2 linked regions of the Daphnia pulex genome follow. The protein of the gene in region 1 purifies or fractionates together with the protein of each later gene. This does not show direct contact. Links are inferred from orthologs where the notes say so. Each region holds a gene or a part of one and is shown in the gene's direction. Other genes may lie near its edges.

Region 1 (9,327 bases):
CCTATTGACCCTCATAGAATATCTTTTCATCATGGGAATCTATGGGGAAGGCGGATTCGGGGTAAATGAGGATGTTAGATAGTAGCAAATCAGATAATCACCCTTTGTAGGAATAATCTGTCGATGTTGGTACAGCATTTTAATTAGGTAGTCGGGCCTTTCTTTAGGTCTATAATCGAGTGATGGCCTTCGGCTTTATACAGATAACAATAGGGATAAATATTCGACAAGTTTAATTTCAAAAAGAGGAAAATGAAATGAAAATCTAAAACAGTTCTGCATTTTTCCTGGTCATCATTTGCGAGACTATGTTTAGTTCTTTACAAAGATGTGACTCAGGACCTTGAAAATGGGATATTTTATTGTTTATTAGAAAAAATTTATTTTCCAGTCACTTATCATGTTTTAACTGCTGGAAGTATACACGCAGCAACTGGTAGGATTTTGCGAAAAACCTTGAAAATTATAGGCGTGTTTGGACAAAATAGCTTCAGGCACCGAATGAAGACTGAAATCATCAACGAAAAAAAAAATGTTGTGGGTTGCTTTTGTAACCAATTACGTCACGCAGTCTTAATTCGATGCCCGGCGGGTCTTTCATACTGGCGGTTTTGTTGGATTTTCAGGCATTCGTCGAGAAATTCAGTCGTGATCTGTCACTGGAAACTCAACATTTTGGTGTGACGGTGCAATGCGTGCTGCCCAGCTTTGTGGCCACAAACATGAGCAAATTCAAGTCCAGTCTGACCGTACCCAGTCCTACCCAGTTTGTCCGGGGTCACATGAACACACTTGGGCTTGAAGTATCTTCTCCCGGTTACTGGGTTCACAAGATTCAGGTATAACGTGTTTTTTCTTATCAGCTTTGATTTATTTTTATTGTGTATATCTAATCTTTTACTGGTTGGGAATTATTTTAGATCGGCTTTTACAACGTGGCACTGAGTTTCGTGCGACCGGTCGTTGAACGCGTCGCCTGGTACGGTCTCTTTTCCATCCGCACACGGGCTGTTAGGCGCCAGCAGCGACTCAAGATGGCGGAAGTCAAACCCCGAAAAGACGCTTAACGGGACTAATGTTGTTGGAGTCCAGCCGATCCAATAGATTTTCATTCCACACTTCATCGAATCCATCAAAAGGCAGTAGTAGCCTTAAGGCTCTTCACGCTTTCTTCTGCTCATTGTTGTGTAAATGACTATGACTGTATCAATTCTAGGCTCACATAATTGTTCTTCTTTTTCACCGGCTAATCATTAATAAAAATTCATACACAATATTCTGTCAGGTTATGATATTATCGATACAAATTTTATGTATTCCGTACCATTTGAAAAGTAAGGCTGGCTAAGCGCACCATCGATGGAGATGACAAACTTGAATGACAATTGAATAGGAAAATGTAAATGACATAGAAGCTCACTGTTATGGTTCTTGTGCTTCTCAACTTATTAACAGCACATAAACTTTTAAGACTCGCGAGCAATGTGCACGTTAAACCATTTTTCTCATCTACACAACTCTACCGTTTCTCTCTGAATAACGACAACTCTCGTGTAACGAAAACTCGGCAGTGAGCTGCACACAGAAACACAGTCTGACTATGACACTGTTTGCACTTGATAGCCTTCGTTCTTGCCAATTTGGAAGAATGGCTTCGTAAATCGGTTGCCCGCTCATGAAGATAGACAACGTAGCTACGTAGAAGAAAAAGCGAAACAACAAAGTAAGCAAAAAGAATTTTAACATGCGACTATTTTCAAACCATCTGAGGGAATGTTTCCCGTAAGAAAGAAAACAAAAGATAAAATCCGTGGCGGCCAGGATTCCAAAGTAATTAGGAGAAACTTCGTTCATTCGCATGAAGGAATGGAATTAAAAAAAAATAATGCGACTTTTAAAATCCGAGTACTGCGGTTGTTGTTTTTTCTTAGACATCCTTGTACTGGGATAAGGTGGACTGCAGATGATCGACAATCTAAATGAAATACATTTCAAACATCTGGTATTAGTAGAGAAGTTGCAAAAAGAAAAAAAAGGAAAAATAAATAATAACCTTTTGATAGTAAGTGATCTGTTCCTGTAGGAAGATTTTTGCGGCTGCATTAAAATCGTGAACACGTTGTTGATGGAAATAGGACATTTCAGCCAGTAGCGTGTAGGAAACAACATCTGTTCGTTGTTGAGCACGAACTACAACGGTGCTTTCCGTTTTACCCTCAGATGCGGAGCGTTCCAACTCGCGCCGCTTTTGAAGGGCCCCCTATAAATTAAAAATTAGTATTGTTTTAAAAATTGCCGAAATTGCTGGGTTACCTTGTGGACGGTAATGATGTCGGGAAATGAGGCAAGTAGTCCACGATAATCGTGTAGTAAATCTCCCATCGGCTCGAAATCCAATCGTGGTTGGTCCTCACAAAGAAGAGCTATCTGATCATACGTGTCAGCAGTATGGGAAAGTGCTCTGGTCAGAGGAGCTGTCTCTAGCAATTCCATAGCCGTGCCAAGAGTTCTACAGAGACAAACAGTTGGTTAACAACAATACAAGGGCGGAGCACTTCTCTTTGAAACCTACCTGAATGATTGGCCAACACGTTGATAGTCGCGTTTATATGGACCTTGCTGCCGTTTTACTTGTTCGGCAAAGTTGCTTTGCATCATGCGGACAGCTGTATCAAACGACTGCACGAAACGCCCAAAAGCTTCGGTCTGAGAGTCACTATGATCAAGAAAAATGTAAAAGCGATCAAATAAACAGTTGAAAAAAAAAAAAACAACAACAAAAACTTACAGTTGTAGTGGGTCAAGCGACTTTTCTGGTACTTGTACAACACCAAAGATTGCGGCGCCAATTACTTCGTCTTTTTCAGCTTTCCGCTTGCCCGTTTTCCATCGTTTGGCATCTGTGCACGTTAAAAAGTGCAACCAGACATCGGAGCGTGAGAGAATTGGGTGGTCACACACACGGCTAACAAATGATTGCAACTGTAGACGTCTTCGCTCGATAAATTGTTCTTCATACCGACCTATTTTAAGTACACAAGTTCAGCAAATCGACTTCAACCAAAAATTCTACAAATATAAGAAATCACCAGAAATTTGCTTGTCTGGAAGGGGAGGAATGGGAATGATGCAAAATTTTTCCACAAGTCTTTCGTGAAGCCAATCGAAATGTTTGTATCGCCTAGAAACCTGGATATTGTTTAACGACGGTGTCAACTGGTAGGCAATGAAACTTTTTAGGCCTACGATGAAAACATAGAAACAAGTTGACACATTAAATTATATTTAAAAATTAGTCGACTAGGTTGTAAAAATATTACCTTTCAATTTTGATTCTTTCTTTGGTGAAGCCACTACACACGAGTAAGGTTGAGGATTCGGAGCCCATGTGATACCGTTGTTGGTTTCGATGATGTGGATTTGGTCACTATCAGTGGACGTCACTTTGTTTGCCCCCAGAATGTAAGCTTCTCCGCCAGTTTTAACGAAGTGAGAAAACCGGTTCAAATTTTTACGAACGGTTCCTTTACCGTCTCCCAATTTCAACCCTGCCATGTTGACATCAAGCGCACTACCAACGTCGCTATTGCTTCTCCCACCTGCAGCAGGGTTTCCCGGATTGCTACCTTGGTTGGCTTCAGAAACGTCATCATCCCAGTCGTCATCCCAATCATCGTCGTACTGGAAGTAGATTGAAAATACCTTATTAATACAGTTACCAGGAATCTCCACAATGTTTTTGGAATACCTGTGATTGTTGCTGTTGAATCGCTGGAGCTACATTTTCCTCTACGTATATCTGGGGCAATGGAGGAGGAGGCATAGCAGGAGGTGCATTGTAATTTTGTTCAATAGCCTGTTGAATTAATACAATAAAATGGTTTTTTGAGGTTTAAAATAATTCAATTTACATGTTATTAATACAGAAAAATCCAAATGATACAAAATTCTTTTCTGGTTTTACACTAGCATGCATGACATAACAGGAGTAGGAAGAAATTCATACCTCAACGTAGGCTGCAGGAAATATTCCACTAACTCCACGTTGATTACTACCTTCCCACCATCCTTCACCAACATCCTTACTAGTGACAGTTAGAACTTCACCAGTAACAATAGATAGTTCAGATGTGCCAGGCTGGCCTTCAAAATCATAAAGGACGCGCGCCTAGAAAAACGATTCATTTTGTAAATTAAACTGGTTTCGAAACCGGATATGGTTAATGAAATGGTAACAGCAGTTACAGGAGTGAGAAAATTTATAGTTCTAACTAGAAGACGAAACTGATAATTAGAAAAACCGGAATCAAAACTCAAAAGTTACCTGACCAGCCATCTCGAAGAATAAAAACTCAGCTTTTTACAATACCCCTGCTGCTGTGTGCTGTCAAACTGATTTCGTCTCGCCCCCTAATAACAGCTGAGAGGAATGAGTCAGTGATGAGCAGAGCTGAATCTGAAACCAAACGATAAGTTACAAAATCTGAGACCCGAGTGACATTTTAAGGCCCTAATGTTTCTTCTGTCTAGTAAGTAATGCCATCTACTGTAGAAAGATATTAACTGCATTGGTTTGAAAGAAAAACAAAAGAAGTACGATTGTTCGAATTCGTCTGCAACGTGTATTGGTAGTAAAACACGCGACACGCGGTATCAATTATTTTAGAATACTGAAACTTAAATGTATACATTGTGAAACATTTATTTATGAAATGTCGAAAGGCAAATCCCTAAGTGAAAGATTAGCCGAACTTGCCAATCCAACACCTCAGTTTGCTGATCCAGAAGATGAATATAACGAAGGTAACAAATTGAAACAAAATAACACCTACTTGTTTTTCTTAAAGTGTTTCTAATCTTTCTAGAAAGTAAAGCAAGGCTGGAGTCCTTTGATGACCAATATGAGTCGTATGATAACACTCAGGTGGTTAAGAATAAAGCACCAAAAAATAAATCTAATCTACGCCAAAAGAATGTGGAATTATTAGCTGTTTCAGATAGCCGATATGCTGGGAAGCGTGTCAGTCGCAAAGATCTAAATTCTCCTGTAGGAGAAGGCTACAAAAGTTCTGAGTCATCTTTAGAATCTGATAATGAAAGTGGGGAAGAAAATATTCTGGAATTTAAGAACAAATTCATGAAAGAAACAAACAACAAATCAGAGAAACCCAACATCTTCCAGGAATCAGAAGACGAAAGTGGTTCATTGAAATCTGATATTCATGAAGAAGATAGTAATGAAAGTGAATTGAATAAATCTGAAGATGACGAAGAAGCTGATTTTGAAGAAGGAGAGGGTGAAGAGGAGGGTGAAGAGGAGGGTGAAGAGGAGGGTGAAGAGGAGGGAGAAGAGGAGGAAGAAGAGGAAGGAGACATTGGAAGTGTAGATGACAGTGAAGGAGAAGAAAATGAAAAAGTTAAAAAAATGTCAAAAAATTCTCATGATAATGATATAAACAAGGGAAAATCTATCCAAAATCAACTCTCATTATGGGATCATCTTCTTGAGTGTCGTATAAAGATGCATAAAGGAATAAATTTATGTAATCAGTTACCTCAAGCTCCTTCAAATTACAAGCTTTTTACTAAAGCAAGTGGAGAAAACCATTTTGTTGCAGCAGGTCAAGGTGCTCAGGCAGCTATTAAATCATTATTGGACAACTGCCTTGAGCTAGAGGTAATTCCTGTTTTATTGTATTTTAAATTACTTAAAATAATAAAAAAATTAAAAATTCAGGAGCTTCTTCTTAAATCTAATCCACAAACAAAAGCATTAACGCAACGAAAGTCTAACGAAGAGGGCAGGTATTAAATGTTAATTTTTCAGTTTAAAAGGCATTAATTAAAATTTAAAAGTGTTTCCTTGTCAAATAGTGATGAAGAAATTCCAAGTGACACTGACGAAGAAGCTGGAGAAGACGACGAGGACATTGATGATGGAGGACCAAAGCGCAAAAAACAAAAAATAGTCGGATATGAATCCGAGATTGGAGAAAGACACGAAAAATTGCGCGGTTTTTGGCATCGTACACTGAACATGTGGAATGAAAAAACAAGATTAGCATCAGGGAGAACGGGGTCTGGAAGCAAAGCCGGATTTGGGGCTTTTGATCAATCTATCTTGAAACAAATTGAGGGTATCCTTAGCGACAAGCAACGGTTGATAAATCGTACACGGATAAAGAGATCTACCTATCGCATACTGGGATCTATTTCTAAACTCAGTCCCAAGGAAAATACAATTAATGGAAAAGGAGAGGAACACATACAAGTAATTTGATAGCTAACAATCGTTTTTTACCCCTTAATATGTTCAAGTAATTATTGAGTAATTCTCCTTAGGATGACCAACATTTACCCGAAACTAAAGAAGTCGATTATGAAGAATTCGATCCTGAAATTTATGATGACGATGATTTCTATCATCAATTACTTCGTGAGTTAATTGAAAAAAAAACTGGCGAAGCTGGCTCAAATCAAATTGCTCTTGGAAGGTTAGTAGCGTTTGGTGTTGTATCTAATACATGTTGTTTCTAAGTGTGAACTTTAAATGCAGGCAATGGTTAGAAATTCAAAAGTTGCGATCGAAAGCCAAACGAAAAGTCGATTCAAAGGCAAGCAAAGGACGAAGACTTCGATATCAGGTGCATCCTAAACTTGTTTCCTTCATGGCTCCGTATCCTGAGGCTTCATGGAATGACATTGCCAAAAATGAGCTGTTTGCCTCGTTGTTCGGGTCAGGGCCTACTGTTAAGTAATTGTGATGACTGTCTTTTATGTATGTTCTTTATATAAGACGTCTAAATAAACTTTCAGTCTCGTGTGTGCGAACAGCCTATTTTTCTACATTGTTTTTGTTAAAGTATTCTAATGTAGGCTTCAAGAAATTATGGCAAGCCGTTCGCGGCACTTTTCAGGGAACGCACAAACCTAAAAGTAATGCAATAATAGCTGTATAACGTACGAGCACTCGCATAAGCATAAACCTAAAACTAAAGCAAAAACCTTACCTAGTGTCTGATTTGGGACGTTTCATGTAGTCGATATTTGTTATAAGAAGGCAACAGGCAAGAGAGATTACCCGTGATCTAATACGCTAATATACTACATAAAATGCATTCTAAAGCATCTTCCATTACGGTCAATATCTTTTGTAATTATTTTGTAAATACAGTACAGTATCGTCCAAAAAAATCCGAACACCATGGTCTCTTTCTTTCTTTTTTTAAAATTCTTCGAGATTTTTTTCTTAATCCTAAAAAATGAACTTTGTAAAACAATTCATTCTACACATAATATGAAGTCTTGAAAGCTAAAAACAAAAAATATACACTAAACTGGGCTTTTGAAAAAGAGGTGCGTTCGGATTTTTTTGGACGATACTGTACCTACCTAAAGTTTGGGAACACGCGAGAGAACCTTGTGGAGAAAGGCGTTTTTTCTCGGCGTTCCCAAAAATCAAATTTTCGTCGGAACGAGACGAATTTTTTTTGGCCGTAGCCATTATGGAGAGCATTAAGCTATTTCTTTTTTAGATTTTTTCGATCAATGGAAGGGTAGATTTTAAATGAATCCCTAAGATTTGGAAAATGGGAACACCATGCATAGAGCTCCATGCAAATTAGGGTACTTTAAGGGGGGATAACAATAAAATGGGTTAAGCTAGGAAGACGCGGAAAACTATGAAATGAAGAACTTTACTAACTCAACAACAGACTTCATTTTCAGACTTTTCGCGTCATATATAGTCAATTGTAAATTTAAAATAAATTTTATTTTTTGGCCCGTTCTAGTCCCCTTCTCCCCTCCCTCCATTCCCACCCACGCCGAGTTGTCGCCCCCTCATAAGCGCGCGTTTTCTCTGTTTATCACAGAAATTTACTGAGCTTTAGTTAAAACAGGACCGGAATTGATAATATGTGATGAAAGTCATTGTATAAAAAACGACAAGACATCTTCTTCCGGTGGGCGAAAACGACACCTGCTACCTTCGACACTGGCTACCCGGGGGGTCAACACTGGCTACCCCGACACTGGCTACCCGAAACTGGCTACCCAGAAGGCCGACACTGACTACCCCGACACCGGCTACCTGACACTGGCTATCCCCAATTTGCTACCCCTGGAAAACGGTAGCTAAACAGAATACTCTCCTGGCCATGTGTATAGGGCTCTTTGGGATCTTCTCTTTGGGAGGAGAGAAAGGGGAGAAGAGGGAGAATGGGAGGACGCCCTCCTCCCTCCCATTCCTCCCATTCTCCCTCTTCTCCCCTTTCTCGCCCTACCAAAACGCCCAGCCATGCTGCGTTGCCAGATAAAACGGCTAAAGAAAACAGATCCCAAAGAGCCCTATTGTGGCCGGCTGATCATTGACTGTTGCAATGATTATTGCCGATTACCTTTAGCAAAACAATTCTATTTGAATACTGGTAAGTTCTTGAAAGAAAACCTTGCCAGGCAAGGAACTCCACACCCTTTTTTCTTGGCCAGGTCTATTTCCTTTTTTTATATTTTTTAAACCATTTCGGAATTTTTTATTTAAATAAATGTTAATTGATTTTACACATGATATAACTTTCGGAAATTGCAAAAAAATTACAGCATATTCCAAGACTTCAAAAGTCCCAAGTGGCAAGTTAACACAAAGATGAGACACTTGGACTGGGGTGACGTGGGATTGTTGTGAAAAACTTGGCTAAGATAGCGAATGATAATGACGCTTATGGTAGCGTTCTCACAATTCAATCTTAGAATGCAAACAAAATTAATAAGAGACCACTTTCTATTTTATAGAAAACTGCCTCTTACTTCTTACTGACTGATTTCAGAAAATAGAATGCGGTCTCTTACTTTCTTGAAATGCAAAAAAGTCTTCGATTCTGAGAGTGAGGGAAGTGTCTGAGAGAGATTGTGCAATTAAGAAAATTAATTTTATAAAATTTATGAATTGAGTGTTATTCAGATTCAAGTTGGTCAACACGCGTCTTCAGAGATATCTCGTTCGCGCCCACATAGAAAGTAGGGCCTGCTGAACGCCGGGGCCTGAACGTCCATGACCCGTTCGCGCTCGAAGGTTGGAATTTGTCGCCTTCATGGAGGAGAACAGAACATGATTTACGATCTCAAAAACAATACTGGATATGTTGACCATGGATGAAAGGGTAAAATCTTTCCTCTTGGAAAGAGTCCCAGCAGAGGTACAGTACTTAAAAAAAAAAAAAAAACTCGCGTCAGCTGTCCTGAATAATTTCTTGGTCTTGGCACCAGGTGGCCAAATCCTATCTCTCTTTATTTGCCGAAAAGAAGAAGCGGAATTCCCATATTTTA
Region 2 (9,086 bases), on another chromosome or scaffold:
TTTTACCTTCCTTTTTTTTTTCTTTTTTGGTACTACAGAAGCGGGGGGGGGGGGGATTTGCATTCACCTGACATACCGTGTTACTGTCGTCTATACTTTAGTATTTGGCCTCATCAAAGAATGTACTCGCGTGTCAAAGTAACACATGCGCAATCCAATTTCAAAGTAGTGCAGCGTGGAATTTGACTTGTCAACAGCAGAGACGATGGCAATAAAAGAAACAAAAAGCTTTTGCAATGTCGTTGGTCTTTTCGCTCCACTTTATGGAGGTAGACAAAAAGGGCGTCAAAAGTAAGTCTCCCCCGGTTGATGGGTTGTTAAAGAAAACAAAAAAACAGTTTCAGTTTGTACTAAACAAACTGAAAACAAACGACGATAAATCAATCAGTAAGCCAATTGCACGTTAGGCTTGTTGGTCTTACGACGAGGAAAAACAATAAGAGAGAAACACACAAAAGATTCGTCTGGGGGGTTTTCAAATATTCGAATCCCAACTCGATTGATGTGCAGTTGGAAGTCGACGAGTACCTCGGGGGTCATTAGCATATAACCCGTGAAGAGTTGAATAACACAGAAATTATATAGAGAAAATGATGAATGATGTTGTGTCCTACCTGACGCGAAGAGAAGGACGACAACAGCTGTGTATCCGGTAATGAAAGAGCCACGATGCTCCATCTTTGCCACTATTAAAATTTCGGATTTCTCTTTACAATAAACAAATGATTCCTATTCACGAAAACACACACTCGGTATATATATAAGACGTGTTGGCCAAATAATTGCCAATAATAATCTATGCCTCAGAGATTTGAGTAGCAAAGCAAAGGTAATTAGGGGGCCACAACAGAACACACTGAATCAATACGTTTCCACTTTTCGGTCAACAATAGAGTTGGGCTGAAACGCATCAAAGATGAGCACGTGTCACACTAGATTCCGGTTGGAATGGCGCGCGCGCGCGTGCGGAAACGGGAGTCGAATAGAACGAGATCCGTCGTCTGATCCGGTCGGCACACAACTGACTGCAGTGCCAGCCAGCGGGTGTTTCCATCCGTTTGCCTTCCAACAACCCCAACAACGAGTCGAGTCTGCCTAGGTAGGTAACGGCGAGAGAGAGAGAGAGCGTGTTGTTTTCGGACGGCTGGAAAAACACGTTCGCCTTGACTGTGTGCATTTGGCGTCAATCACAAATCGCAGCGGTTTAATTTCTCCTCTTGTTTTGAAGAAAACAGAAACGAAAAATCGCCAGCAGCGCCGGCAAATAGCCAGAAACCATTGGTTCTCATCTTTCCTTGACTCAACGCATACCGAGGGGTCCGTCCCTCTGTTGGATTATGTTTCGGCTGCCATCTGGCGGACTAATAATTAGACCCGATTTCACACATCAGTTCGAAATAGAAGCCACCACACACAGTGAACTGAACGAATGAGTCAGCCCTTTTTTTGTCTATTCTATTAGGGGCTGTAAAATGTATTGTCATCTAAGCTTTTTCAAATCAAAGCCTTGGCAATAAATGAATTAGCAACGGCATTTTCAATTTCTGCTGATAGTGCCCGATCAATTTAAACAGTTTGTCAAGACCTCTAAAGACCTCTAATGAAATTGAAATGCGAGAAATCAGCCTTGTTATTTATTTTTGTATATTCTTAATGTCACTCATGAGCGATCACCAAGTAGCGTTAAAGAAAAATAAAAGTGGAATATGATACTCGGTATATTCTTTGGCATTTTGAACTATAGCGGCAGTTGTCAAACTAAGCGATCAATGGCCTATCATCACATCTCGCATTGCCGTTCGAATGGCTTTGAATCGGAGATACGTTCCCTTCCGAGAAAAATAATCAACTTCCCAACTTTACGATAGTGTCATAAATAATACAACGAATCTCACGACATCAAGTTTCGAACTTGACTTTCCTGTTCAAGTTCGCGCGTCAAACGTACATATTTCGTTCCTAGAAAGACAGTTTTATTAAGGAATTTTCATTCCACCTGTCGAGCAGTCAGCACGGTAAACATAGCAACGACGATAAAATAAGCGCTAGATGATTGCACTGAGCCACAAGCGGCAGTTAACATGAATCATTTACTTCCGTCTTCAAGTGAGGGCATTTGAAAAGCCGTTTCGGTTCAGAACTTTTGCTAAAGGGACCCAAAAAAGATATAGGAATTACCTGCAGCTAATGAAAACAACAGCCATTTTAGTCCGAGTCTTGAGTCCGAGTTTAGTGTAAACAGGATGGTTTCTCATCCTGGATATTTGAGACCGTTTCTGACTTTATTAAGATCTAATCTAACGAGCGAATCTAATGCAACGTAACAAATGCTTGTTGTAACAACAACATTAAAACAAGTCATTCTACTTTCGGATACCATTTATTCTGTTTGATTTGAAGTCGTGAACATATTTATTCCGTTGGCAAAGACGTAGGGAAACCAACCAATGAAAAGGAGAAAAAAAGTTAGAAAAACGGTACCATTCAGAGAGGGAACTGATACGGATGGCTGACCACCGCTCCATAATTATTCAAATGAGCCACGAGCGATAGATAACCCTTTTCACCGCAGAGACCCATCATTTGGTTCCCTCGCCGCTCAGTTTTCTTCAACACACTATATAGAATGTAGAAAAGAAATTAAATAAAAAAAGCTCTTTATTTATTTCACAGCATTGATGCAGCCGTATATGTTCAAATTATTTATTCAAATGACAAATAAATTCCAAGTCGCGCTGTGTCACTGAGATGCTAATGACGGAACGAAGTAGTCACTGCGCATTAATAGTAAACTTATATAATCAAGTTATTAGCGTCAGACGACCAAGCAATCACAATATAAACGCACCAACCCATCTTCCTTCTATGCCTAAGGCTCAATGGAAACATCACGAAGAAACGGAAAGCGAGGAAAATGTTGACAGAGCGTGACATTGCGCCTGAGTAAACATACAAGGTACCGATATACAAGGAGGATCGCCGCACAATGTTTGCACAACACCGACTGCCCTCTTTATTTTCTTGTTAAAATAATATCAATATAGTTGTACGTTAGGGCTTTACACAATGCACTCTTTATATAAAATATGTGCATGCATTTTCATTGATGTCAATTGCGTTTGTTGTAAATATAGACCATCAACATTGACCATCCCAAATTGGTTCTGTTGGTCAACGCTCAACGGGAAACAATAGCGAATTTCTCTATTTACTGACGAGAGTGAATGGCGTGCGACTGTGTGAGACTAAATCATTGGAAATTTGGAAGGAAAATTTTGATCCCTTTATGGATTGAAAAAAGAATAATTTTCTTTACGGTAATTTATCAGCAATCTAGCGTTGGAAGTTTCTTTTAGTCACTACTAGATGGCACAATATCTCGGAATATCCCGCGAACCGTCGATCCATCCCTATAACCGCCCCAAAGAAAAAAAATTCTTAGAGGGATGACTGTTTGGGGTTTTTCCCCTCGTCCCGTGACATGTCCCGGGCTTAAACGTCACGGGCCACAGCCGGACGGAGGTGGGAAATTCCTTTCTTCTAGTAGGTGATATTTACCCTTCCTACAAAATAAAACAAAATAGAATTCGCGACAACACCTGGGAGAGTTATCTATAACGGGGGAAAGGGGGAAAAGGGGGAAAAGGGTCAAAAATAAAAAATCTCATTTTCAATTCGAAATTCTAATATTAAATGTTTATTTAAAAAAAATTTCCCTTTTTTCTGCCAGAAATGGAACACGTTCCATGCAGAAATCTTGTCGATACACACATTCGCGCACTTAAATTAGGATTATCAAGTAACTTCTATTTTGTATTTATTAACATTTTGACTCTACAGTCCTTTTTCAACTTCAATGATGATGATCATCAGGTTTCACAAAACGAAGCCCACAGTAGCCACAAGTATGGTTACCGGGTTTATCCAAATTGATGTAAACTTGTGGATGTCCTAGTGGGCCACCTCCTCCATTACAAGACACAATTCGGGACTTGGTTTCTTTTGGTGGAACCTGGGCAATTAGGTCAATCGCAAAACGGGTGTTGACTTGCTTCGATGCGTTTTCAAATCGAGCTAAACGAAAATCAGATTCATCCCATTTCTAAAGAACATAAAGTTGAAATAAATAAATTCGGATTTTCCATGGACTTTCGAATGTGTAAAAATTTCTCAACCAAGTATTGTGATATGTAACAGCAAACATGTAAATCTAATAATTACCTGTCCAGTATGAGTTGGAAGATCAGCTGCCGCAGCCTCTTTCAATACTTTTGGAGCAGTTGAAAAAGGAATTTCATGTCGAATTGGAGTTTGTTTCAATTGTTTTCCAAGGATTTGGACAAGACGAAATTTTGAGGTCGCCATTGCAATTGTCGAACGGATAGACATCTAGTGGTAATAAGAGAAGACGTGAGCTGAAGCAGCTTCGGCTAATCGGCTATCTGCTCAACAGCAGACGAATTTTAAAGTTATTGTGCACGTGTGTTGTGTGAGATTGTGAAATCGTTTTTCGACAGGTTCTCAAAAGAATTACCAGAATGTTGATTCAAAGCTCTAACAATGTGAAAATTTATAATTTGAGTGCTGGGAAATCCTTGCCAGAGGTAAGCGTGTCTTTTTGTGTTAATTTCCCTTTCAAATAGCTATTAATGAGTATACATAGCTTCTGTGGTTTCTATAGTTTTCCCTGACAGTTAGTTAGCATGTTAATTGCCATGCTTGTAACAATCACTAGATTAATATAATATCATAAATTTATTTAAAAAATTTTCTGATGTTTAGATAGGCTAATGTCTTGTATAAAAAATCTCATTTTCTTTTTGTTTTTGCAGTGGTTGTCAGACAGAAAAAAGAGAGCCTTGCAAAGTAAAGACTTGGACATCAGAAGGCGAGTGGAGCTCATTCAAGATTTTGACATGCCTGGGGTTAGCACCTCAATCAAAGTTTCAAAGGATGGGAAATATATTATGGCTACAGGCATCTACAAACCAAGAGTTCGGTGCTATGAAGTAGCTAATCTGTCCATGAAATTTGAACGGTGTATGGATGCAGAAGTCATCAAATTTGAAATGTTGTCAGAGGATTACAGCAAAGTAGTTTTCTTGCAGTGTGATCGATTTGTCGAATTTCACGCTCAGTATGGCCGATACTATAGAACAAGAATACCGAAATTTGGAAGAGATTTGAAGTATCATTTTCAGTCATGCAACCTTTACATAGTTGGTACCGGGTATGCAATAAGATTAGAGTACTCTTAGTTGCTCTAGTTAACTGTAAATCTTCTTTAGGCCAGACGTGTATCGCTTAAATTTAGAAGAAGGGAGGTTTCTTAATTCATTTCAAACAGAAGCAACCACTCTTAACGTTTGTGATATGAATCCCTTTCATCAGCTGTTCGTCTGTGGTTCCAAAGAAGGAAAAATAGAGGCATGGGATCCTCGTGCAAGGAATAGAGTGGGAGTTCTCGATTGTGCTTTACACTCTGTGACACCTGACACTCAGTAAATGGTTTTTTTAACGTTTTTAGATCACATTTTACCATGTTTTTAATTATAGAGTTACCGGTGTCCCTCAAGTCACGGCTGTCAAGTTCCGTGATGCACTGACATTGGGAGTTGGAACTTCAACAGGCCAGATCTTACTTTATGATTTGCGATCCAATCGTCCGACTAAAGTGAAAGACCACCGATATGGACTTCCAATAAAAACAGTAGATTTTCATCACCTGAATCATGATTTGGTAGCGTCAATGGATTCCAGAATCGTTCGATTGTGGGATAGAAATACGGTAAATAAAATTAAAAAATAATAATCAAAATGCTATAATACTTTTAATGTCAATAGGGTGAACCTTACGTTTCTGTTGAAGCAACATCAGATTTGAACGATTTATGTTTGGTACCTTCAAGTGGTATGATGTTCATGGCTACGGAAGACAAAAAAATGCTCACTTATTACATACCTAATCTTGGACCGGCTCCTCGTTGGTGTAGTTTCCTTGACTCGTTGACAGAAGAATTAGAGGAGGGAGAAACTGCTGCCGTCTATGACGATTACAAATTCTTGACAGTAGATGAACTACATGACCTCGGATTCGGTCACCTTATTGGTATTTTCCAAATTTTATTAGAATTCTATTCTTCTTTTTAACACGCCTTTTCCTTTATAGGGACCAATCTATTGCGTGCCTACATGCACGGTTATTTTATCGACATGCGACTATATAGGAAAGCCAAATCCATTGTTGAACCTTTATCACTTACCCGCTACAAACAGAATAAAGTAAAGGAAACAATTGACCAACAGCGGTCCAGCAGAGTTCAATTGCAGGTAATACACCTAAAATTCAAATTTGGATCAAAAACAATAATTGTTTGTTTTTTAGAAACTTCCTGCGATTAACCGTGAGCTTGCACTTAAGCTTATGGAGGATAGTAAGGCGGTTGATGATGCTGAAGCAGTTGGAAAGAAGAGTGGTGCAAAATTACTTATGAGCTCCAACATTCTAAATGATTCGCGTTTCAAAGATCTTTTCGTAAACCCGAACTTCCAGATAGACAAATCTTCTGAAGAATTCAGGTAATATTTATTTGTGATGTAGAACAAAACGACTTGGTAGTGTAAACAATGCGTTCCTATTCCGTCAACAGATTACTAAATCCTGCAGTTTCACGTTTGGACAAAATCCGAGAAAAACGTATCAAAAAGGCTCTCATCGAAGACCAGTTCGAGCCCGTCGAGGTAGGAATAAAAAATAGCTCCTTACAAAATGACACAATAAAGTAATTAATTCATTGCAGGGAACGAGCACGGAAAATCCACTTAATGATGATGAATTTTCAGATAGTGAAAGAAAGGGTCGCAAACGGACAATTTCGGTAATACAAATACTTCATACCGCATGTTAATGGTAAACGTTTCTTATACTGTATACAATTTTTCCCCAACAGACCGATGACAGCAGCAGTGATTCTGACGACGCAAGTCTTCGAAATGAAATCAAGTTACAGCATAAGATTATAAGAGAAGAGAAGTTTCAACAGAGAAAATTGGAAAGACAACAAGAGAAGCTGGAAGGTCCTAAGTTCATGGCATTAAAACCTGGGCAAAAATTCCAAGGGTTCCGTTCAACCACTGATCAACCTAAGAAGAAATTGGCCAAGTATCAATAATTATCTTCGATTTTGTTGTGTTTACATTTTAATGTTGTATGCTATTTCAATTTGACTCAGGGCTTCGCTTGGTGAGCGAATTCATTTAGAAGAAGATGTAGACAAAGTTAAGCTTGCTCCATCAGCTGGTTCTAGAGAAATGACTTTCACGCTCCCACAGGTATTCATCATAATTTAGTTTTTTTTTTTTTTTTTCAAATTACGGATTAATTAAAATTTGACCATTTAGAGTGAACGCGTCACAAAAGCTAGAGAACAAGCCGAACAACATCATGAAGAGCGACGTAAAATTATTCGATCTGCCAATCACTTGAGAACACGGGGTCGTGGGCGGGGTGGTCGCGGAAGATTTTGATTTATTTGTTGATTAAGTGAAATAAACAAGACATTTCGTGTTTACGGTGTTTAAACCTTATCTTTATTATTATTCCTACAGTTGAGTCGAAGATGTTTTGACTCGAATGTACAATCGCTATATCAATCGGTTTTTGGGTGTCTAAACCAATAAATGTAGATGATGGTAGGGAGAGCTCAAAGATTGCACCGTCATCCTCCCTTCTACATTGCATAAAATTTTTCTGTAATCGACACATCCTATTCTTTTGGCTTGTAGATGATTTTTCTGCTCTTAACAACACTCCACTTGTGGCGTTTCCAGTAGTAAGCTACTGAAATCAAGAAGGAGAATAGCATCAAAGCTTTCAAAGCCATCTTCTTGCGATCATCATGTTCGGGCTCTGCTGACCACTTGAGGAAGGTGGACACATCTTTAGCCATTTGACTGGCAGTAGCTGGCGTACCATCCGCGTATTCAATCACCTTAAGATCAAAGATATGCTTGTTAGAATCGCTTTGTTGAAAAAGTGAACAGAAATCGTACCTCATTGTAAAGAGCTTGAGCCATACCAATAGCGCCTCCAGGGAAATAAGGATTATAATAAAGACCATCACGTAATGTGATACCAGCTGGTGGATCGGTATAGCCAGTTAACAGAGAGAATAAATAATCCTCTCCGCCGTGACGAGCAGCGGTAATGTAACTTAGGTCTGGTGGAAGGGCACCGTTGTTGGCGCTCCTGGCAGCTTCTTCGTTAGCATATGGGCTCGGAAATCTATCAGAAAGCTTACCAGGGCGTTGGAACATGTTACCATCTTCATTGGGCCCATCAGTAACCTACAATGGATATTACTTTGAACTACATTGGAAAATTGACAGTTAAACCATTAATACAGACCTGAATGCCAGCAGCTTCCTCCTTGGCTTCATCCTCTGTATGGCTGACACCAATCAAGTTGCGATAAGCCAAATACTTCATGCTGTGGCATGCAGAGCAGACTTGTTTGTAGACTTCATAACCACGACGTATGCTATTTCCAAAAATAGTTATGTACATTCAGAACAACAAATCACTTTAAAATTAAGCATACCTAGCATGATCCAGAGATGAAAAGAGCCCATTGTGACTCCATGGAAAACTGGGAGCATGTAACTCCAGGCCTGAAGCCTTTACCGACTGGTCTAAAGTGTATGCCAAACCAGCTGCTCCACCAATTAGAGACCCAATTACCGCTAATCCCTAAGAAAATTATGCAATATTCTGAGATTTGATAACCTAAAACACTTCCTTGTATTATTTCTTACCGCTTTTTTGCCGGCCGAGAGCTCACGCAACGTAGACAGATGGGATTGCTAAAACCAAGATTCGAACGTTATTTCCCTATGTTGGATTAAATGAATATTATAGTATGCTTAAAGCATTCCAAACCTGGATAACGGCATTGTTTTGGACTCTAAGAAGCCCAGATTTCACGAATTTACCAGCAACTCCGGCCATCTTTGACGAAATTATCGTAACGGGTCGTCCAAGTCAAATGCAACGTTGAAACATCAATTAATTCCATATATTACGTAAA

The links.
Region 2: the proteins of protein AATF-like (region 1) and nucleolar protein 10-like purify together in Homo sapiens (affinity purification with mass spectrometry; 4 studies listed by BioGRID and IntAct, counting the BioPlex papers as one, with this or other methods). This does not show direct contact. The link is inferred for Daphnia pulex from reciprocal best matches to the Homo sapiens genes AATF and NOL10.

Annotation. Positions count from the first base shown.
Region 1 is NC_060028.1:5,994,356-6,003,682, forward strand, and holds protein AATF-like, read left to right. Parts: upstream 1-4,597; 5' UTR 4,598-4,712; coding exon 4,713-4,803; intron 4,804-4,865; coding exon 4,866-5,677; intron 5,678-5,737; coding exon 5,738-5,805; intron 5,806-5,874; coding exon 5,875-6,271; intron 6,272-6,342; coding exon 6,343-6,494; intron 6,495-6,556; coding exon 6,557-6,758; 3' UTR 6,759-6,838; downstream 6,839-9,327. Other genes in the region: very-long-chain 3-oxoacyl-CoA reductase-B-like, read left to right, coding at 627-839, 921-1,067; sorting nexin lst-4-like, read right to left, coding at 1,928-1,975, 2,054-2,260, 2,314-2,509, 2,573-2,716, 2,789-3,023, 3,090-3,242, 3,321-3,681, 3,749-3,856 and 2 more. UniProt on the Homo sapiens protein: Part of the small subunit (SSU) processome, first precursor of the small eukaryotic ribosomal subunit.
Region 2 is NC_060022.1:6,105,745-6,114,830, reverse strand, and holds nucleolar protein 10-like, read left to right. Parts: upstream 1-4,441; 5' UTR 4,442-4,538; coding exon 4,539-4,604; intron 4,605-4,832; coding exon 4,833-5,230; intron 5,231-5,288; coding exon 5,289-5,501; intron 5,502-5,556; coding exon 5,557-5,788; intron 5,789-5,844; coding exon 5,845-6,109; intron 6,110-6,169; coding exon 6,170-6,330; intron 6,331-6,385; coding exon 6,386-6,579; intron 6,580-6,650; coding exon 6,651-6,741; intron 6,742-6,800; coding exon 6,801-6,878; intron 6,879-6,950; coding exon 6,951-7,162; intron 7,163-7,232; coding exon 7,233-7,332; intron 7,333-7,401; coding exon 7,402-7,527; 3' UTR 7,528-7,571; downstream 7,572-9,086. Other genes in the region: inactive tyrosine-protein kinase transmembrane receptor ROR1-like, read right to left, coding at 615-678; NADH dehydrogenase [ubiquinone] iron-sulfur protein 6, mitochondrial-like, read right to left, coding at 3,854-4,102, 4,222-4,389; cytochrome c1, heme protein, mitochondrial-like, read right to left, coding at 7,767-7,991, 8,053-8,346, 8,408-8,540, 8,601-8,749, 8,815-8,862, 8,939-9,007.